Stegostoma tigrinum: one gene and its partners. The protein of the gene in region 3 interacts with the protein of the main gene of each other region in a biochemical or structural test. Links are inferred from orthologs where the notes say so. Each region holds a gene or a part of one and is shown on either strand. Other genes may lie near its edges.

Evidence for each region.
Region 1: the proteins of smad2 (region 3) and zinc finger FYVE domain-containing protein 9-like are reported together in a solved structure, tested with the Homo sapiens proteins (2 studies listed by BioGRID and IntAct, with this or other methods). The link is inferred for Stegostoma tigrinum from reciprocal best matches to the Homo sapiens genes SMAD2 and ZFYVE9.
Region 2: the proteins of smad2 (region 3) and skia form a complex in vitro, tested with the Homo sapiens proteins (4 studies listed by BioGRID). The link is inferred for Stegostoma tigrinum from reciprocal best matches to the Homo sapiens genes SMAD2 and SKI.

The regions. Positions count from the first base shown.
Region 1 is NC_081361.1:64,109,103-64,117,085, forward strand, and holds the start of zinc finger FYVE domain-containing protein 9-like, read left to right. Parts: upstream 1-4,942; 5' UTR 4,943-5,123; intron 5,124-5,136; exon of another isoform or gene 5,137-5,360; intron 5,361-7,983. UniProt on the Homo sapiens protein: Early endosomal protein that functions to recruit SMAD2/SMAD3 to intracellular membranes and to the TGF-beta receptor.
Region 2 is NC_081381.1:23,172,724-23,180,061, forward strand, and holds the start of skia (v-ski avian sarcoma viral oncogene homolog a), read left to right. Parts: upstream 1-4,020; 5' UTR 4,021-4,452; coding exon 4,453-5,361; intron 5,362-7,338. UniProt on the Homo sapiens protein: May play a role in terminal differentiation of skeletal muscle cells but not in the determination of cells to the myogenic lineage. Functions as a repressor of TGF-beta signaling.
Region 3 is NC_081354.1:160,634,125-160,642,409, forward strand, and holds the start of smad2 (mothers against decapentaplegic homolog 2), read left to right. Parts: upstream 1-5,069; 5' UTR 5,070-5,499; coding exon 5,500-5,786; intron 5,787-8,285. UniProt on the Homo sapiens protein: Receptor-regulated SMAD (R-SMAD) that is an intracellular signal transducer and transcriptional modulator activated by TGF-beta (transforming growth factor) and activin type 1 receptor kinases.

The DNA of each region.
Region 1 (7,983 bases), on a different chromosome or scaffold from region 3:
CCCTTGTCTGCCTTCCGGAGAGACCGCTCTCTCCGTGACTGTCTTGTTTGCTCCACACTCCCCTCCAACCCCACCACACCCGGCACCTTCCCCTGCAACCGCAGGAAGTGTTACACTTGCCGCCACACCTCCTCCCTCACCCCTATCTCAGGCCCCAACATGACTTTCCATATTAAGCAGAGGTTCACCTGCACATCTGCCAATGTGGTATACTGCATCCATTGCACCCGGTGTGGCTACCTCTACATTGGGGAAACCAAGCGGAGGCTTGGGGACCGCTTTGCAGAACACCTCCGCTCAGTTCGCAATAAACAAGTGCACCTCCCAGTCGCGAACCATTTCGACTCCCCCCTCCTATTCTTTAGATGACATGTCCATCATGGGCCTCCTGCAGTGCCACAATGATGCCACCTGAAGGTTGCAGGAACAGCAACTCATATTCCGCTTGGGAACCCTGCAGCCCAATGGTATCAATGTGGACTTCACCAGCTTCAAAATCTCCCCTCCCCCCACTGCACCCCAAAACCAGCCCAGCCTGTCTCTGCCTCCCTAACCTGTTCTTCCTCTCACCCATCCCTTCCTCCCACCCCAAGCCACACCTCCATCTCCTATCTACTAACCTCATCCCACCTCCTTAACCTGTCCGTCTTCCCTGGACTGACCTATTCCCACCCTACCTCCCCACCTGTACTCTCCACTTATCTTCTTTTCTCTCCATCTTCGGTCCGCCTCCCCCTCTCTCCCTATTTATTCCAGAACCCTCACCCCATCCCCCTTTCTGATGAAGGGTCAAGGCCTGAAACATCAGCTCTTGTGCTCCTGAGATGCTGCTGGGCCTGCTGTGTTCATCCAGCTTCACACTTTATTATCTTGGATTCTCCAGCATCTGCAGTTCCCATTAACCAAGGATAGAATGTTCCCTGCTTTCCTCCATGGTGTATAGCTCGAGTCAATTATTCGTAATGCACTCTATAAATTTGTTGCCATAGCCACCCTTTCCACCTTGATTATCTTAATCAACATGAAGATTAAAGTCACCATAATTATTGTTCTCTTATTTTCATGTACTCCTATTTTTTGTTGCTTTGTACACTTTCCTATGGTGTGGCTACTATTTGGGGGTCCATACAGTACTCGTCGCAGTGTTTTCTTTCCCTTATAACATAGAACATAGAACTATCAGCACAGTACAGGCCCTTTGGCCCATGATGTTGTGCCAAACTTTTACCCTAAACCTCAGGTCTATCTAACCTCCACCCATACCTTATCCGATCATCCATATGCCTAATAGCCGCTTAAATGCCCCTAATGAGGCCAAATCCACTATCCTCTCCGACAATGCGTTCCACGTCCCTACCTCTCTGAGTAAAGTACCTGCCTCTGTCTCTCCTGTATCTACTTCCACTCACTTTTATAACTATGCCGCCTTGTAATCGCTACCTCCACTCTCGGAAAAAGTGTCTTGCTGTCCACTCTATCTATACCTACTGTACCTCTGATCATTTTGTACACCTCTATCAAGTCACCTCTCATCCTTTGTTGTTCTAAAGAGAAAAGCCCTAGCACTGTCAAGCATTCCTGTAAGACCTTCCCTCCATTCCAGGAAACATCCTGGTAAATCTCCTCTGCACCTTTTTCAACACTTCCACATCTTTCCTGTAATGAGGCGACCAGAATTGGACACATTACTCCAGATCTGGCCGAACCAAGGTTTTGCTTAGCTGTTGTTATTTGACTCCGCTCAAATGGACTTTACATCATCTGAGTATAGATTATCTCTCACAACAGTTCTCATTTCTCTTAACTCCTCTTATGAACTGTGCACCCTACAATCTTTTTCTTCCCTCCTGCCTTTCCAAAAAGTCAAATATCTTTGAATGTGATGTTCTGAATTTGATCTCATTGGAACTATGCCTCTGGAATGGCAAGTGGATCATTTCCATTTCCTCAATTTGCACCATTTATCTTATTCTGAATGGTTTGTGCATGCAAAGCAGTTAGGATTGCCTTTTTGCTATGTTAATCTTATTTTAATAATTTAAAACAGTAAAAATTGTTTATTTAAATATTTCCCATTTTTCATTTTCCACCATATATTTTGCTTTACAAAATCAATCTCAAGCTTTTATTCCATCGCATTACCATAATTGTCTTTATGTTTGAATTGTTAATGCTCTAAGTATGTTGTTTTCAAACTTAATGCGGAATTCAAAAGTATTAGGATTACTACTTCCCAGTGGATCTTTTGCTAAGGCACTACAAAATTAATCTTTTCTCATTGCACAATGCTAGATCTGAAGCAGCTTTAGCTCATTTATTCCACAATATGTTGCTTAAGGAAGACATTCTGCAAACTCAACTTCCAGATGAGTTCTTCCATTTGGCAATGTCATTGTTCAAGTTTGTATGAAGATTAAAATCTCTCTCAAATATTACATTACATTTTTTCTCCAATGATTTATTGTTTAATGACCATGACCCAATTCCCACTCTGCAAGGACACTAATCTTCTGATATGGCTAAGTGCCTAACTGACTATGGATAACACTCTGCACTTGAAATGGATGTTGCTTATTGAACCTTTGGACTGACTATAGCTTCCTCCACCCCACAGAGAGCTGGTCCTCTTTGATTTTCCAAAATAGACACCTTTTACATAGAAAAGCATTTTGATTAAAATGTCAAAAGGGCAAGCCTAAAAGCACATGCCACGTGTTTGCTGCTTAATCTGGTGACACATGCTGTTGGTGTGGTGTTGATGTAGCCTGATGGCATACAGCAGCATATCCACCCGCTTAACCGTTCAGTACTCTGAACCATGACAAGCTGCCTGCCTTTCTGTGATAAAAAGCAATGCAATGCAAAAGCAAGCAACCTCTACGTGCAAAGCGAGGGAACATAGAACTTAGAACATTACAACACAGTACAGGCCCTTCGGCCCTCGATGTTGTGCCGACCTGTCATACCGATCTCAAGCCCATCTAACCTACACTATTCCATGTACGTCCATATGCTTATCCAATGACGACTTAAATATACCTAAAGTTGGCGAATCTACTGCTGTTGCAGGCAAAGCGTTCCATTCTCTCACTACTCTCTGAGTAAAGAAACCACCTCTGACATCTGTCCTATATCTTTCACCCCTCAATTTAAAGCTATGCCCCCTTGTGCTCGCCGTCACCATCCTAGGAAAAAGGCTCTCCCTATCCACCCTATCTAACCCTCTGATTATTTTATATGTTTCACTTAAGTCACCTCTCAACCTTCTTCTCCCTAATGAAAACAGCCTCAAGTCCCTCACAGCCTTTCCTCGTAAGACGTTCCCTCCATACCAGGCAACATCCCAGTAAATCTCCTCTGCACCCTTTCCAAAGCTTCCACATCCTTCTTATTATGCGGTGACCAGAACTGTACGCAATACTCCAAGTGCGGCCGCACCAGAGTTTTGTACAGCTGCAGCATAAAGGGAGGGAGTACCAAGAAAGCAAGCGAAGAGTCCTAAGTTGCCTTATATGTAGATACATGTGTCTCTGAATATAAAGTTATTTGAAGAAGAATGTAAATCATATTGCCCCTGCGCTCCAAAATCAAACGTTAAAGAATAGAAGAGGTGTGAGATTTCAACCCAGAGCGTCACGATGGTGCAGGCTTGTGGTTTGCCGATGCTGACTTCTGTGGACGAAAGTTTGCTGAGAATGGTAATCATGGTAATTATTGACATGTCTGGAACTTGTACCATCTAGATTTTTAGGAAGGCTTGGAACAAAGTGAGTTGGCTTAATAATGAGATGCAAATACATGGGAAAGATGTCGCTGTGCAAAAGTGTGATTCTTTAAGAGCGTCAAAGTTCAACGCGAAAATTACGTTTTCTCGAAGTGAAGATTCTGATGTTTTCGTTTTCATTATTTTTCCAACTTTGTTGCCATTGTCTATGCGGGAGCAGAAGGACATTCAGCATATGTGCAATTAATAACTGTATGTGATAGAATAGCATGCAAGAATGTCTAATAAAGCATGCAGGCTCCTCCGCTTTATTGAAAGAAATATACAGTACAACATCAAGCAAGTTGTGATAAACTTGTACACATTTCAGTATTATGTCCGGTTGTGAGCACTACAGTTTTGGAAGACTTTAAGCATACAGCAAAGTTAACATGAATCATTCCAAGCAGCGAAAAGTTCAGCTACATGATTAGACTGGGGAAATTGGGTCCTGGCAAAGAGAATGTTGAGATGAGATTTTGATGGGCATATTCAAAATGATGAAAGAGTGTGACAGAGTAGATAGAGCGAAAGATTTCCTATTGCGGAAGAGCCCAAAACCCGAGATTAAAGCTAACCAGCAAATGAAACAATGTCAAAACTTGAGTTAAACCTTTTAAAATGCACTGCCCGAGAGTGTGATGGGGATGGGTTCGATCATGCCATTGAAAGAGAATTGGGTCATTATATAAGTAAGGGAAACAAAGTGCGGCGCAAAAGTTAAAAAGGTAGGGGGACATACCTAATTCAATTGTTTCTGGCAAAGCGCCAGCATGGAGAATATGGGCCGAATGACCTCATTCCATGCGGATTTTAAATATCTAGGCCGTCTTTGTTTATGAAATTATCTGGACAGTGTTTACTCTTGACCGCTGCTTCAATGGAAACGAAGCAACAAATGCGCCAAACAGTTTACAAGCCATCGCTGTAACGTGCTCATGAAAAGAACCAGTCGCTGCTCCGGGAGTACGGATCTGAGGAGCTGTTCGCAGAAGCAGGTAAGATATAGACCAATTGAAAATAGTCGTTCAAGTCCTAACTATCTGATTGGCGATTCGCTCAAGCGGCGTATGTTCTGAGGATACGGATTGGTCAGTTGAGGGGTCGTGTCTGTGGAGGGTGGGCGGGAGTGACTGGTGATTGGTCAGATTGGATGGCGCGGTCGGATTGGCGGTTGGAAGGCTGCCGCTGGTATTTTCCAAACGTCAAGCGCGTGATGGATGGCTGTTGAGTTGATGTCGATGGAGAGGGTGAAGCGTTGCGGATCTTGCCTATTAAGATGCAGAGTGGATAATAGCGACCAACGGTGTGGCCGGCGACATTCTTCAACCCCGTCTTGGAAGCGATGAACCCGCGTCTGGTAAGGAAACAAAGTCCGGGAGCGATGTGAATTGTTTAAAGGGATTTGGACCGCCCTCCGTGCGACCCCGACGGCTCGCTGGATATTGCGCCTGCTGAGGAGATGGCAGCCGAGGGCAAGCGTGTGCTTTGCGGATATTACCGAAGCACTTACTCCCATGCTTCGGGTAGGCCTAAGAAGACAGTGTTGAAATAGTCCACCGCCTGGCTTTCTGAGCACGATTTTTTTTTCGGGAAGGTGTGTGTGTGTGTGTGCGCGCGCGAGAGAGATTGGTTTGTGCCTTGTCTAGCAAGTCTGCAAATATTTGAATTTCGTCATTAGTCCTAGATTTAAATGCTGCGGATTAAAGCAATCGTACATGGCACAGAAGGTGGGGGAGGGTGGGACTCATTCGTTTATTTTGCAGGGTGTAACTCCTGGGCTTGACGGCACTACTGCGTTTTGACTAGGAATAGATTTGACTTGGCTTTCATTAACAGAAAGCATAACTGCAAAAGATGTGTCCTGATCTGTTTGTAAAAACTGCTTCGCACCTTCGTAAAACACGTAATCTTCATAGACAAAAACCACAAGATTTTCGCAATTCCGAACAGTGGGTGCAGAGGTCATACAGCCCTTATCGTCTCCCGTCAAAACAAAATGTGCCGCAGAATCATGCTAAAAAGTTTTCTCATTATTAACCTCCGGGTTCTGTTGTAAAGTGCAAACGACGACAGAGACAAAATAGTGCAGGACGCTTTTTGGATCCAAAACAAATGAGATCAGTCGTTGGTTTTAGCCAGTTTTACCCTACGATGTCTAGGGAATATTTCTGTCTCCCAACAACTTTGTTCTTAAATATTATAAATTGTAGCAATGATATTGAGTAATGCTGAAGGTTCGCTGCATACTTTTTATGCTTACTTTTTTGGAGCACAGGGACGAAGAAACGACTACACACAATTCAACCGAAGGTTTCGAAATTCAGTGATCCGTGTCAAAATTCATCTTTAACTTTTAGATTGCTGAGTGTACAATGATTCTTAAAAAAGTTACTTTGTGTGATTCCTTACTGGAAAGGAACAATAAGCTTTGTATGACAGTAGTCCTGCAGTTGCTAGTTGCTGACTGCCGTGCATTTAGTGTGGAAAGCAGGTCTGGCTGTTTCGTAAAGAGGGAGAGCGCTAAGTTGGTACCGTGAACGAATTATGTCAGTTTGTTAGAGGATTAAGAAATTAAGTTTGCAATTTAGTTGCGATTAACATTTGAGTTTTTAAAGGGTGAGATGGGAAAATGTGTTTATGAAAAATGCTTGCTGAATTGGGATTAGTTAACTGGAACAGAGATTAAGGAATTTTCACCATTGTAAATTTTGACAGTAGTAATGAGGAAGAAAATTTGGGATTGTCAGTACTCCTGTTTATAGCTGCTTCTGCCAGGAGATCTGCTGTCATGGCATGCCACGTTCATCTGCCCTGCTGCATTCTCGTGTGTCTGCTGTAGCTCGTTTGTAACCATGCCATGACATCTGCGATTCAACTGTGCCTATGTCAACCCCTCTTCTGCCCTCCACTAGAAGAGATCTCTGCAGCATTTCAGTTCCGATCTCAAAATTCTTACTTTATTGGGTGTTGTTTTTCTAAGAATTATTTTTGTTTTTGGCCTTCATTTGACTTGTATATGGAATTTTTTAACATGCTGCTTAATGTCCATGTTCTTAATAGATAAAAAAGTCAAGATTTTATTTTATAAAATGGCACTGTTCAATTCAAATAGCTCATGAGATGGTACCATAACCTATTTCAAAGGAGAATTATGCACACGTGGAAGGGAATAAGCAATTTGAATTGCTTTGAGTCTTTCACTGCCTTAGCACTTGCCAAAGCATTTTTCCAGTTTGGTGATTTTGGGTTCAACATTAAATGTTGGCCAGGTTGTGTGGAGACCTCTTCCACCCTGTTAAAATACAGATTGTATTTCTCCAGATGTGCTCTAGTTTACTGCTTTTATTTGAGTAAGATGCAACACTATTTTCCAGCTTGTTTTTTCAGCTAAGATTATGTGCTTAAGTCTCTGTAACAAGACTTGACCTTGTAACTAAGATGAGTGTGCTATTGCTGAACCAAAGCTACTGCCAAAGAAATATGAGATTTATGTAGATGGTTGCAGTTGAACAAGTTTCTTATTGTACTTAACATTTTGACTCCAATTTTTTTTGTAATAAGCAAATCATCTGTCTTTCGTTAAATTTCAAAGTTAGCTGAAGTTCTAGTTTTAAGGAAATAAATGCCAAACGGGAGATTGGAGGCCATCTTGTGTAAATCAAAACAGTAAATATGGAGTCTTTGGGTTGCTTTTAAAGATAACACAAGAATTTTGGACTGTGATAACTCCTAGGTCAAATTGTTTGCAGTCGTAACAATCTATAATGTTACTGTATTTCATGATCTTGTTTTTTAGCAGTAATACTTGGGCATTTGTCGTACAATAAACATAATTTATTATCGGTGCATGGTAAAAGATGATGTTGATTAAACTGAATCATAGATTTTGTCATTTGGTTTGAGAGATATTTGCCAAACATTTTGAAGAACGTATTGTCAATCACTTGCTGTTATACTGCCTGACTATGGTAACTTTGTGCGAAGAGTCGGGGTCATGTTCCAATATACACATGCAAGATACCCAGCTCCTAGATTTCATCATTTGTATTGACCCCCGTTGCTTCCTTGTTGCTGGACTGACAAACCTTGGAGATGTGGGAATTTTTTCTTGGTTAATCATTGGTGAAAACTGAAGCCACTTTTTAAGATAGAATCCCTACAATGTGGCAACAGGCCCTTTTGGCCCAACAAGTCCACACTGATCCTCAGCACATCCC
Region 2 (7,338 bases), on a different chromosome or scaffold from region 3:
CTTCTGACAGTGGAAGAAAGTAAATTGATTTTAAAAAAGTAATTAAAATGTTTTTAAAAATGCTTGTACAATTTCGTTATACAAAGGCTCAATATACTTACTCGGCAACAATCTCCAGGACCTCACCATTCAGTATATAAGTCCTGCCCCGATTTGCCTTTCCAAAATGCAACACCTCGCATTTGTCTAAATTAAACTCCAACTGCCACTCCTCGGCTCATCAGCCTATCTGATCAAGGCCCATTGTACTTTGAGGTAAACTTCTTAGCTTTCCATTACACCACTAATTTTGGTGTCACCTGCAAACTTCCTAACCATACCTCCTACGTTCACATCCAAATTATTTACATGAATGACAAAAAGCCATGAACACAGCACTGATCCTTCTGGCACACTGCTGGTCATAGACCTCCGGTCTGAAAAGCAACCTTCTACCACCATTCTTTGTCTCCTACATTTGAGCCAGTTCTGTATCCAAATGGCAAGATCTCCCTGTAATCCACGTGGATTCATCCTTCTACAATGTGAAACCTTGTTGAATACCTTATTGAACACATCAACAAAACTGTTCCTATTCAGGAATTTCACTGAGAAACTACAGCGTGAAAGTACAAAAAGGGTAATTGAGAAAAGGTTGCACTCTATAGAAGTGGAGGTTGGGGTGCAGAGCAGAAGAAACTTTATTATGCTTTAAAATATACTGCAGCTTGTCAATTTGAATGATGGAAAGTGGAACAGCTACTGCACTGAACAGAATGACAAGTCCCAAGAGCAGGGGAAGAGATTATAGCATTTTGAAAGAGTTTTGATAGGCAGGGTGTTGTATTGCTCCTCCTGGACCCACAATTTTTTTTAAGAAACAAGAAACTTGCAACTTCAGTCACATCTTGCAGTGATCCCCTCAAGAATAACTGATTATAGCATTCAATGCCTGGTGCAACTGGGACTAGCATGCATGATAAGCTCTTTCCAATTTTTGATTAAAAATATATATGGTGACCTACAATTGTTGGAGCTACCTAACTACGACAGGAGTGCTGCATGCTCATCTCAAAGTCTACTTGGAGAGAGGCAACAGGATTCTGCAAAGCACAGGGAGCTGGGTCTCCTTGCACATGAATCACAAAAACATCAGCATGCAGGTATGGTAAGTAATTGGGAAGGTAAACAAATGCTGGCATTTAATGCAAGGAGGCTGGTGTACAAATGTAGGGATGTCTTGATACAACTGCTGAAGTCATTGATGGGGACACATTTAGAATACTGTGTACAGTTCTGGTCACCTGAGTTAAGAAGGGACACATTTGCATTGAAATCTGTTTAGAGGTGGTTCAGTTGACTAATTCCTAGGATGAAGGATTTGTTTTAAAAGAGCAAGTCTACCAAGTTATGTTAATTCCCATGGCAATTAGGAGAATGAGAATAGATTTTATCAAAAAACATAAGATTCTGAGACAGTTTATCAGGGTGGATTCTGGGAGAATGCTTCCTCCACTGGTGGAAGCTAGAATGAGGATTTGATTTAACTTGATTTATTATTGTCACATGTACCTAGATACAGTGAAAAGTTTTGTTTTGAGTGCAGTCTAATAACAGTGAGGAAGAAGTTGTTCTTGAATCTTGTGGTACATGTTTAAGCTTTTGTATCTTCTGCCTGATGGAAGAGGTTGGAAGAGATTATAACCGGGGTGGGAGGTCCTTGATTATGTTGGCTGTCTTTCCGAGGCAGTGAGAGGTATGGGTGGAGTCAATAAATGGAAGGTTTGCTTGCATGATGGACTGGGCTGTGTTCACAACTCTCTGTAGTTTCTTGGAGTCCTAGGCGGAGAAGTTGCCATATACCAAGCCATGATTCATCTGGTTAGAATGCTTTCTATGGTGCATCTATAAAAACTGATAAGAGTTTTTACAGACATGCTGAATTTCCTGAGCCTCCTGAGGAAGTTGAGGCGTTTTTGTGCTTTCTTGACGGTTGTATCAACATGGGTGGACAAGGTCAGATGTTGATGATCATCACTTCTCGGAACTTGATGCTCTTGAGCATGTCCAAAACACAGTTTAATTATAAGAGGCATCCCACTTAAGACAGGGATGTGATTCTTTTCTCTCAGAGAATGGGGTTTTGTTTATGGAATTTTTTTCTCCGTTAACTGATAAAGCTGGCTAATTTAATAATGTTCAAAATTGAGTTAGACAGATTTTGGACAGACAAGGGAGTTAAAGGTTATGGGAGTCAGCCAAGTGAGTGGAGTTAAGGGCAGATTAAATCGGCCATGATCTTATTAAGCAGTGAAGCAGGCTCAAAAGTCTGAATGACCTAGATCTAATGCTATTTCTCAAGTTATTATTTAGCTAGTTGAATTCTAATATGCTGTTCACAGATGGAAATTTCTAAGCACTTGTCATAATGATCTAAACTTTCTGGTCTTGGCTAAGTCAGGCATATCTATTCAAGTAAGAGTGCGTACTCTAAATTGAGTAAACAGAGAGCAGTATCTTGTTGATTTTTCATTGACTTCTGATCCTGAAGTACTGTGATTGGATTCTGCTTGTATTAGACACCCAGATGACCGAAAAGGAATTAAGGAGTAAGGCTTTGGTTGATTGTGGAATGAGGATTTTACTGTGCTGGATGAATTTCACTAATTCAGCAAAGACTGAAAATTGCACCTATCGCTTCCTGCATTATTGCCTGATAACATAAAGATTGGTACAGTCACTATAATTAAGAAAATATATTCAAAGATGGCAAATTGCAGCAATTTATTCAAACTTTAATTACATTAGAGTTAAATTTCACTACACCTATACAACATGTGTACATTATACATTGACTGTGGCACTGTCATTTGTCTAGTATAATTCTGGGAAGTGATAAATGACAATACTCAAGAGATAGTAAGAAGGGTCTCGGCCCAAAACGTCAACATTCCTGCTCCTCTGATGCTGCTTGGCCTGCTGTGTTCATCCAGCTCTACACCTTGTTATCTTAATGACAACACTCAATTGGAGTTTGTCCCAACATTACACAACTGTTAGATGAGAAGATTTACATTTATATAGCACCTTCACAATACCAGATAAGTTAAAGTCTTTTACAGCCAATGAACTACCTGTATTTTGAATGATAATGACCAGAATAATACATTTTGTGCCAAAAACAGAAATTGCTGGAGAAACTCAGCAGGTCTGGCAGCATCTGTAGGATGACAGCAGAATTAACACTTCAAATCTGGCGATTCTTCATCAAATGTGATGTTAATTGAGACATAATATGGGCCAGGAATAAGTTTCCTGCTTTTCATATAATGCAAAGCGATCTTTTACCACCACTGAAAGGACAGGTGGGGGCTCATTCCAGCATCTCATCCAAAAGTCAGCACCTATGACAGCACATCAAGCTTCAGCATTGAAGAAGCGTGTCGAGCTTTTGTGTTGAAATTCTGGAAAGTTGAACCCACATTTATCTGAGATAACAAGGTGTAGAGCTGGATGAACACAGCAGGCCAGGCAGCATCAGAGGAGCAGGAAAGCTGATGTTTCGGGTCTGGACCCTTCCTCAGAAAAAATTTTTATCTGACTTGGAACTCAGATTGCTATTAAATATCACTAAACCAAAAGTTTACCAAGACAGTTGGTACATGCAAGGTTTATAATGTAAAAAGAACAAAAGTTTATAATGTTAAAAACAAAACAAATGGAGTTCTGTGTATTGCATTTCTTAAAATTATTCATTAACGCAAGGTTACAGTAATACTTATTGTAGAATTGTCCAGCTTACGACAAAAAACCCCTCCCGCTTACGTTATACTAGATCAAACTGACGATCTGTAAACCACAGAACGTGTTTTGTAGAAGAAGCTGCCAGCGACCAATCCCGGTTATTAATGGTTTCTAGTGAACTTTGGAAAAAAATCTCTCCCTTCCGCGTGGCAGTTTGAAAAGCTATTGGTTTGTGAAACCAATTGTTGCATGTTTGTAGCCTGCTGTTGAAATCGGTGGGCAGTGTGCTGGTTCCTGGAAGAGCCCTGGGGGAGTCAGACGCATTCTTGGCTGAGATTCAATGCCTGACCTAGACGCCGACAAACAGAGGGGAGAAGACAGTCTGAGCTGCAAGGTCGTATTGTGTGGATGTGCCGCGTCTTTACGCTTGTAGATCGTAAAAGAGGATTGAAAAGAAGAAAAAAGAAACAAAGTACAGTCTAAAACCAATTGGGGACTGGATTTCGAAGGACTGGTTTAACCAGCATTTGCTTGAAGATCTTTTTAAGGGCACGATTGTGGATATGTTTGAACGTAAGAGTGCTGCAGAAACACAACACGCTTAGAGACTGGATTTCATGAGCTACTTTAATATTGTACGCGGTGGTGGGATAAACTTGGACGCCGTGGCTTTTTAAAGGATTCAGTTGATTTTATACAAAACGGGTGTGCTTTTTAGGGCCAAAAATCATGGAGACTGTACCAAGATCTAGTTTTCAGCCTCACCCAGGACTCCAACAAACCTTAAAGCAGTTTCATCTCAGCAGTATGAGTTCGCTTGGAGGACCCGCAGCTTTCTCTGCTCGATGGGCTCACGAGATGATGTACAAAAAGGAAACTGGGAAGGAAACAGATCAGATTATTCACCTACCCATACAGCCCCCTCCTGTCATGCCAGGACCCCTTTTCATCCCATCGGACCGATCAACGGAGAGATGTGAGACTATTCTGGAGGGGGAAACCATTTCTTGTTTCGTGGTTGGTGGGGAGAAGAGGCTTTGCTTGCCTCAAATTCTGAACTCCGTCCTTAGAGATTTTTCCCTTCAACAGATCAATTCGGTATGCGATGAATTACATATTTACTGCTCTCGATGCACGGCAGACCAGCTGGAGATTTTGAAAGTCATGGGGATCTTGCCCTTCTCTGCCCCATCTTGTGGCTTAATTACTAAGACAGACGCAGAGAGGCTTTGCAATGCCTTACTCTATGGAGGAACTTACCCACCCCATTGCAAAAAAGAATACTCAAGCACCATTGAGTTAGAGATCACAGAGAAAAGCTTCAAAGTATACCATGAGTGTTTTGGAAAGTGCAAGGGACTCTTTGTGCCTGAATTGTACGGTAATCCTCATGCTGCATGTATCCAATGCATGGACTGTAGGCTGATGTATCCTCCTCACAAATTCGTAGTACACTCGCACAAATCATTGGAAAACAGAACCTGCCATTGGGGTTTCGATTCGGCCAACTGGAGAGCCTATGTCCTTTTGAGTCAGGATTACACGGCAAAAGAGGAGAAGGCACGATTGGAACAATTACTGGATGAAATGAAAGAAAGATTTGACTACAGCAACAAATACAAAAGAAAAGCACCGAGGGTGAGCGTTTTTAGAACTTAAGACGCATAGTTTTTTTATAGATTATAAGTTAACTGTTTACGGTACAGAGCTTTTAATACATTAAGGTTAATATTTTAACTTGTTTCTCAATGTCAATAATAGGCACTACAAACATGACTCAGAACTGAACGCAATAAACTCAATTCTTTAATAAAGGTTAAATCATTAATTCTCGGTTTCATAGGTATCGATACTGTATATGCCGGTGTAATGGTACTATAAACAGTTTCTGGAAGTTTGTTTCTCTTTAAATTTGTGGAAATTATGTGTTTGAACCTCTTTCTCAACGTACTTTCCCTTCACTTGGCGGAGAGGTTTTAAAATCATGTATGATACATTAAATACTTGAAGGTGTATGTATTTTAATCGTTTCCCATTATAAATAATGACGTGCTAAGTTGAAGCATTAAGTTGACTGGGCTGTTCAATGTGATAGTTTCAGACAAGGGTGTGTGCTTCGTTGCTCACTAATATGTGGGAGTGGTTTTGTGAGATGTGCATTTGTATGGAGAGAGCTGACTCTGTGAACAACTGCCAAGGCATGGCCTGTGTAGGGCAGTGTTTTATCCAATCCACATCAATTTAGCAGATCTTGAGGAGATTTAATGCCGAAAGGCAAACTGGGGAAGCTGTTTAATCCGTTCTATACTCAAACTAGATTTCAACATGATCATAGCTGTACTTAGGTTTGCTAACGTTTCAATTGGAAACATAGACGCGATTTAAGAATAAAAACTGAATCTGTCCAGACAATCTATTCCAAATTATAAAACTAAACTGTTCAAGAAGCTACGCTACCATAATGTTGCGCTTCAAAAGCCGGGAAAGATCACAAACTTTCCTACCTCAAAGTGCGTTATTTACCTATCAATTCGGATTTCATTCCATAGTTCATCCAAAAATGAAACAAGTTTGTATTTTTATATTTTTCTCCTCTAACAGCACCCATCCCACCCCATTTCATTCTGATTTCCAAAGAGAAGATAGCAGACAGTGCATTGATTGTTCTTTGTGCGTGGGTAAAGGTTACGGCCGTGAACCTTGGCTACCTCTTGACTGAATTGAAAAGGAAACGCTCAACAGTTCATTTGCATCAATTGTTGCGAATTTTAAAAAGCCGATGAGGCATACTCGGCACATTGAAAGTCAAACAGCAAAATCGTCAATGTACCTATTCAATCCCTCGCGCTTTTGGATTTTTTTGTTCCTATTGTAATACTGTACATATTACCTGGGCAATTACAGACAGTTTAGTAAGCAGAAAAAAAGACCTGTGCCAAGGAATATCGGATTGCATTGCTTAAGTCGTTGTAGGAGATATGCTTCCGAAAGAACAGTTCAGTTTAAAAAAAGTTGTTGCAGTGTTTTTGGTAATAAAAACTAATTTCTGTGTAAAAATTGATTTAAAGATCTGATTGAAGGTTTGAGAACTAAGCTCATACATTACGAAGGATGGTTTTATATGCATCTGCAAAAACGAACATGATTAAGTAATGCAAGAAAATAGACATTTAAGAGAAAATAAAGTACCATTAGTGCCATATGAGCAAAACCATATTTTCTACAAGTTTTAAAGGGGCAATTCCAGAAGCTGTTCTGTTGGAGATCAATCCATGAAGATTCTGGATTCTTAATATTACTTGGATATCCATCAGAGTTTTGCTAAAGCGATTCCTTTGATAGCTTGGAAGTCCATGAACAACACATTTCGCCGTGCAAACGGGAAGGTCCCGCCAAAAAGTATAGATCGCGTGCAGTAAAGGCAGGAAGTTGTGGTTAATGAGACTTGTGTGGATATTGTGAAACGACGGAGAACTTAATGCGTAGGAGTGATGAGAAATCAGGAATGTCAGACTTCTGTCAAGAATAGACTTGAATTTTGCCTGAGTTCACACGCACCTGTTGATGTAACTCGAGATTGACCGGGATAAATGCCTTCAGAAATTAGTTTCCTTC
Region 3 (8,285 bases):
AATATGACCACCAAACCTTGCTTCTCTATCTGGGTGTATTTATGGTCTGCTGTAGCCAAAGTCCTGGATGCATACGAGATTTTATTCAGAGATTGGTAAGGGCGTGGAACGCCCTGCCTGCCAATGTAGTTAACTCAACCACATTAGGGGCATTTAAACATCCTTGGATAAGCATATGAATGATGATGGGATAGTGTAGGGGGAGGGGCTTAGATTAGTCCACAGGTCGGCGCAACATCGAGGGCCAAAGGGCCTGTTCTGCGCTGTATTGTTCTATGTTCCAATAAAGACTGGCCAGCCAGTGATGCCCACATCACACAATTTTTTTAAAAAATGTGGCTCCTCAGGTACTGAAGCAGTCTATATTCAAATGCAAAAAGACCTGGACAATATCTGGGCTTGGGCTGAAAAGTGGCAAAGAGTTCCAAAGACACACAATTGTCAGGCAGTGACCATCTCCAAAAGAGATAATCTAACTATTGTCCCTTGACATTCAGTGGCATCACCAACACCGAATAATCCACTATCAACATCCTGGGGGTTACCATTGACCAGAAACTGAGCTGCAGATACCAGATAAATACAGTGGCTACAATAGCAGGACAGAGGCTAGGAATACTGTGGCAAGGAACTCACCTCCTGACTCCCCAAAGTCTGTCACCATCTACAAGGCACAAGTCAGGAGTGTGATGGAATACTGCTCAGATTCCTGGATGAGTGCAACACCAACAATACTCAAGCTGCTTGACACCATCCAGGACAAAGCAACCTGAAGAATGGTAATACCCAAAATGTTGACTGCTCCTTTCCGCCAGATGCTGCGTGGCCTGCTGTGTTCTTCCAGCCTCCTGTTTGTCTACAAAGCAACCTACTTGGCTGGCATCACATCCACAAACATTCAGTCATTCCACCAATGATGGTGAGATATAGCAGAGTGCCATCTACAAATACATTGTAGTAATTCGCCAAAGCTCCTTAGATAGTGCCTTCGAAAACCCAGAACCATCCATTTCTAGAAGGAGAAGAGCAGCAAGTAATGGGAACATCACCACTTACAAGTTCCCCTTCAAGCCACTCAGCATTCTGACTTGGAAATATATCACAGTTCCTTCAAATGTCACTAGGTTAAAGCCCTAGAGTTCTCTCCCTAACGCCATTGTGGGTCTATCAACAGTGAACGGGCTGCAGTGCACCAGATGTCAGCTCACCACCACCTTCTCAAGGGCAACTAAGGACAGGCAATAAATGCTGGCTCAGTCATTGACACCCGTGTCTCACAAGTGAATAAAAAAAATGTGTTGGTGTTAATTCTCCAAAGTTTCCTAGATTCTGGGAAGATTCTGTCAGAATGGAGAGCAACAAATATAACCCATGTATTCAAGAAGGAAGAGAGGTAGAAAACAGGAAACCATTGACAAGTTAGCTTGATATCTGCCATGGTCAAGGTGTTATCATTAAAGAAGTTACAGCTAATTTTATGGTCCAGACAAACTCGCCTCAAAAACATTTAAGATAGTTTGGGCTTCAACTTTTTCTTATTTTTAAAGGCAGGTGTAAGGTGTTGAGTCCTGGCTACAAATCAATTGGTCAACTACCAAGCTTGAAGCAGAACACACTTTATTTTTACATTTAGTAAAATGCAAACAAAAAAAAATTGGAATAACTTAGAGTCAGAGAATCATACAACAGCTGAGCATGGAAACAGACCCTTCAGTCCAACTCGTCAACACTGGCCAGATTTCCGAAATTAGTCTAGACCCATTTGCCAGCATTTGGCCCAAATTTCTTTGAACCCTTCTTATTCATATACCCATCCAAATGCCTTTTAAATGTTGGAATTGTAGAAGCTTCTACCACTACCTCTGGCAGTTCATTCCATACATCACCACCCTCTGTGTGGAAAAACAGCCCCTTAGGTCCCTTTTAATTTTTTCTCCTCTCACTTAAAACTGTGCCCTCTAATTTTAGACTCCCCTATCCTGGGGAAAAGACCTTGACCATTCACCCCATCTATGTCCTTCATGATTTTATAAACTTCTATAATGTCACACCTGAGCCTCTGACACTCTTGGGAAAATAGCCCCAGCCTATTCAGCCTCTCCCTGTAGCTCAAACCCTCCAAAAAGGATCCTAGGCAATCCAAAATGGAAGAAGGGGAAAAATTATGGTTGTAAGAGCTGCTCCTTTTTTTTGAGGTATTTTCAGGATTGGAACTGGTTTCCTTGCACGTTTGGAGCAGTAATTACTATTTTATAAGCTGTTGCATTGTTTTTTGGAGCTTAACTCTATTGGAAAGCTTAATAGAATAATAGATTATTTAACTTGTAAACAGTGACTGTTCCAATACAGTACCATTCAATAAACATATCCTTGGCAAAGGCAAATTCAGTAAAATAGATTGTCTTGCATGCAATTCTAGCAAGGCAAGAAGAGAACCCCAGCTTATTGCAGTAACAGGGAGAGAATAGCTTCCACATCCAGCTTCAAAAACCCAGCAACTGTTGAAAGCTTAAACTAAAATCCTGGTTCTGCAGGATCTTGACTCCACCCCTTCATGCCGTCCCTACTATTCCAACTTTCAAAAAAAAACCAAGGCACTTCCAGGCACTGGAGCAGTACCACCGATGCGGCCTGTGCAAGATCCTGTGAATCTGCTGGGAAGAAAGACGCAACACCAGCTTCATTGACCAGGCCAACATTCCCAGTGTCAAGGCACTTACTATCTTTGGTTGGTTACAATGGGTTGGATATGTCATCCACATGACCAAAATGAGACTCCCCAAGCAGGTGCTCTACTCCCAGCTTTCAAACAGCAGGCAAGCACCACATGCACTGAGGAAGTGCCTCAGTATTACCCTCACGCCTCACTGATGAAGTACAGCATTCCCACAGAGACCAAGACTGTCCAAAGTGAAGGAGGTTCATCCAGGAAGGCATCAAGAAGGCATTGAGACTTGCCATTGGGAAAAATTGGGAGGCAGGCGAAAACAGCGCAAGGACTGTTCTGCCACACCAGTTTCTCGTGAGCACTACCTGCCCCAAATGTAACAGAGCCTATGATAGTCAAATTGATTTGTACAGCCACCTATGGACTCACCCTGACAATGGAAGTGTCATTCTCATCTGCGAAGGACTGCCGATGGTGATGCAGATATCCCAATTATTAAGGCTAATAGACTGCTATCCTTTATTACAAAAGCAATTGAACATAAAACTAGAATACTAGGGCATTGGTGAGACCACTTCTGGAAAACTATGGTTTCTTTACCCAAGGATGTAAAGCATTGGAAGTGTTTAGTTGAGGTATGAACAGGTTGCCCTCTAAGGAAATGTTGTACAGTCTGGGTTTGTTTCTACTGGAGTTTAGGAAAGTCTTTGTTGAAGTCTACAAGATCCTTAAAGGTGGCTATGAAGAGGATATGAGATAACAAGATGCAGAGTGGGATCAACACAGCAGACCAAGCAACATCAGACAAGCAGGAAGGCTGACGCTTCGAGCCTATGGTTGAGCACAGAATTAACGGGTACTGTTTGAAAATTAAGAAATGCCTTTTGGGGCGTAAATTGTTTACTGTTAAGTTTGTGCGTGGGTTGGGAACATTCTGCCTCAGAAGATAATTGTTTGGGTCATCAAACAATTTGAAGTTGGAAGCAAGGGAATGAAAGTTATTGGGTTAGAGGGAAGTGTAGAATTCAAACAAACAGATCAGCTAGAATCTTCTTTAACAGTGGAGCATTGGTTCGAGGGGCCAAATGGTCTACTCTGTTCCTAATTTGCATGTGATAGAAAATGTGAAAAAATATTGCATATACATAGGGGCGACTTGGTGGTTAGCACTGCCGCTTCATAGCACCAGGGACCCAGGTTTGATCCCAAGCTTGAGCGACTGTCTGTGTGGAGTTTGCACATTCTCCCCGTGTCTGCGTGGGTGTCCTCTGGGTGCTCCGGTTTCCTCCCACAGTCCGAAGATGTGCAGGCTAGGTGGATTGGCCGTGCTAAATTGCCCATAATGTTCAAGGATGTATAGATTAGGTGTGTTATAGGGGGATGTGTCTGGGTGGGATGTTGAGGGTCAGTGTGGATTTGTTGGCAGAAGGGGATGTTTTCACACTGTAGGGACTCATGATTTATACAAAATTATTCATAAATATGTAACATAACGGTGGCAGATGTAGGGGTTCAGATCAGATCAAGACAAGAAATGGCTTGTTAATCTAGTTTTGAAACACAATTATTGCCACATACTTAAAATAGTTTTCAGCCCTTTACCATTCATAAAACAATGAGATAATTGGAGTTTTAAGGTTGGACTTTTTTGACGGTGGTGCTGAGGAGATAGGTTCAAGGCTGCAAGCAAAATGCCCACCAGTCTGTTTAATTTTCAACTCTTTTGATATCTAGGATTTCAAAAGCACTGAAGCCTGGATACTAAACAATATCAATACAAAAACCAAATGTTCAAACTGCATGTGTTTCACGCTAATAGTAGCCATCCCAGAATATATCAAGTTGGAAGATGCTCCAATTAGTGTACATGATAACTAAGCAATTCTAACACAAAGTAGAAAGCTGATGAGAAAATTCAAACTGTTCTTCCTTGCATTGAAAATCCAGCAGATAGGAGTGAGCCGGCGGAAGAATACACCCAAAGGGCATTTTGAATAATAAGCTCATATAATAGGTAACTTTAACTGATAGGCCAATTTAACAACGTTTGGATTTATATTAGCAAAAAAAATGGATTTCCAGCTTTCAATTCAAGTCCTTTCCGCATCGAAAAAGGTGATTAGTTTGAACGTAACCGCTGGAACTATTTCAAGTGGAGGAACACACCCCTTGATCGTTTTGCCTTCCCCCTCCTTCCCCAAAGAAAGGGAGGAAAAAAGTTTTGCTGAGGCATCAACCAAACCTGTTAACCGGACGTTCCCCGCGCACTGTTGGATTGATTGACGGGGGATTCTGTCCAATAGGCGCGCGGTATGTGGCCGAATGGCGGGGCGTCTGGGGCAGGCGGGCCAATGAGAGTGGGGGACGCGCGAGCGCTGGGGGTGGGATTTCCAGGTGGAGAGAGCGGTCGGGGGGAGGCTGTTTAATCGTTTTTCTCCGTCAATCAAAGAAAAAGGGAGCGAAGAGGCCAGCGGGGAGCGAGGGAGAGAAAAAATAAAATAAAATCTCCTCAGGGGAGGATGTGAGAATTAATAATAAATTACCCAGAAGGCTAACGACATTTTTTGAGGGCAATTTTGATTTATTTTCTCTCGAATCGTCTCGGTTGATAAGCGGCGGTTAGCGAGCAACGCGAGGCACAATTGTGTGAAATTTTGAATCGTGATTGCCGTTTTCTTCCCCTCCTTTTCCAGCCTCAGTTAGCCCCTTTTATTGTTATTTTCCTCTTCTTCTTTACCTTTCTCATTTTTCCCCCTCCCTCCCACCCACCGTCGCCCTATACCCCCACGCCCCCGCCCCCCCATTCCCACTCCCCATTCCTGGCTCGAACCATGTCGATCTTGCCCTTCACGCCGCCCATCGTCAAGCGTTTGCTGGGCTGGAAGAAAGGCGGCGAGTCGCAGTCTCCGTCTTCTCAGTCTCCGTCGCAGGCGCCGCCGCCGCCGCAGCAGCAGCAGCAGCAACAACAGCAGCAGCAGAACAACGGGCAGGACGACAAATGGTGCGAGAAAGCCGTCAAGAGCCTGGTGAAGAAGCTGAAGAAGACGGGCCAGCTGGACGAGCTGGAGAAGGCCATCACCACCCAGAGCTGCAACACCAAGTGCGTGACCATCCCCAGGTAAGGAACGCCTAGCTTCTGCCAAACCTCTCTTCCTAAACTGTGCAGCCAGGTTAAGTTGTTACATTTTAATGATACACTTTTTTTGGGACAAGTTTATCTTTGTTATTTTAAAAGTCAACTCGATTATTTACCAACGAGTGTATCCGTAGGCCCTGTGGCCAAATGCACGATTGTTTCACTTTTTTTATTTTCGGAATCTGAGGGAAATATTTTGTTCCAGTTTCTGCTAATTATAAACATTGGTAATACTTGACACTTGGTTGATGTGTATTTAGATTTTTAGAAATGTGTATTAACTTTGTAATTTTAGGTTGTAACTTCATTAATGTAGCTTTGTTCAAAAACCATAATAATTTTCTTGATGATAAAAAGGGACAGTTTTATTCCATTGAACAGCATACTGGTTTGGATAAATTTGTAATTTTTGTGATAACATGGTGTGAAGCTGGATGAACACGGCAGGCCAAGCAGCATCAGAGGAGCAGGAAAGCTTGACGTTTTGGGTCGGGACCCTTTTTTCAGAAACTTTTTTTATCTTCAGTTAGCATAAAAATAAGTTGTTATTACTGTTTGTTGAAGGTTAGTGTTTTCTGCTCAAGTACAGACTCAAGCCCCTGGTTAATGCTTTGGATTTGATATTAGAACTTTTTATATAAAACATTGTTAGGGGGAAATCAGGGTTTTCCTTTTTTGGCATATTGTTAAAGTTGCATTTCTTATCAGTCTGTGTTGCCTCGAGAAAGTGCTCCTTACAGTGATGGTTTCATGAAGGTGTTTGATAGGAAACTTCAGTATTTTGATTATGTCTGTTAGAATGGTAGTACTTGGAGGTGGCAGTATTTCCATACCACTGTTTTTGCCTCTTCGGTAGCAATAGTTACGAATGTGGTTAACTTTTTTCCATTTTATACGGAGAAGCGCATGCAGGATGTAAGTAGCTGTCATTAGGATGATTTTAATCTGATTTCTTTAGTGGATAGTTTCTTGAAACAAATGTTTTGAGATTCCATTAAAATATTTTTACAGAATTTGTTTTTTGTGCTCAACTTTTTTCCCTTTTAAAATGGATGCACTTTCTTAAATGCCATGGCAAAAATAAAGAAGGGCTCTTTTTCCTGAAATTCACATCTGATCCCCTAGCGGAAATAAGAAATGTTTATTCATCTGAGCCAAAATGATGGAACTATTGTGTTTATCTTGGCATGCTATCGTTTTCTCGCCCAAATAAGGGGCACAGAAGACATAGTGAATATATTATAACTGCAGTCCCTTTCTGCAGTTTAGTTCTGAGTCATTTAGGCTGGTAGCCTAGTTAATAACTGAGAGGAAAAACAATGACCTTTTTAGTTAATAGTCATTCCATTTTTTAATTCATCACATGTTGTGGAGCATTTCCATTTAAAAACCTGCCTGTGTTCTTGTAGAAATTTATTGTAGACTCCTGGAATGTCGTGAGTTTTTATTTCCTGGAACAGAATCTTCAATTGTTCTAATTTGTAACAACTCAAAATTTGAACTGTAAGCTGAACAGAATCATTGGATAATTACAGCATTAGCAGAAGATACTGAAAATCCTCAGTATCTGATGCAAATGGATAATGTTGGAGATCTTCAAACAAAAACAAGTTATGTCCCTGTTAATGGCCTGTTTTTACATATTTGAATACTGATGAAGTTATTTATGCATTTCCAGCATTGTGTTTTCCCATTATGGAAAAGTGGCGAAAAACCCAAATGATTTATTAGCCTAAATTATCTTTCCTTTTTAATGTATTCATGTAATTTATTTAATGCTGACTGTGTCCAACAGGTTTGGGTAAGAACCAAGTTCCAGCATTATTTAATATGCATCTTGAGTGTGTATTCCAGTTTGGTGCAAATGTCCAAAGCTCATCTTTAGCATTGATCTATAAATTTTACACCAGTTCGATCTACGTGGAAATGGGATGGATTTATTTATGGTTGTATAGCTAGTAATATTTTAAAGTTGGCTAGTTCTGCCAATAGGAGTTCACTGGCAAATGTGAATCAGACCTCTAATAGTGTAAATTTAATTTTATTTCTGTGTATTGAATATTTTGCTGTTTCTAGAATCATGAGGCCATTTGGCCCATCATATCTGTACATGATTTGTGAAAGCTATCAAAAGTTAGTTTCTTGTCTTTTCTCCCCCCATAAATTCCAGCATACTTTTGTATTTCAAGTATTTATTCAATTTCTTTTGAAAACTTAAGTCAGCTTCCATCATACTTTCAAGCAATGCGTTACAGAATGAGTCAATTTAACAACTTTTTCTCCTCTTGTTGCCTTTTAATCTCTTTGGTTGCCTTAAATGTGACCTTCTGTCACTGGGAAATAGCTTTCTCACTTGTTCTCCTGGAAGCCTTTTTTTAAATGTCCCTCCTATTTTTTTCTCCTTCATCTCTGTTGTAAGGTACATAAATGTGCTTTTTGTCATCTTTTCATAGTGAAATGTTTTTTCCTGGTATCACTGTA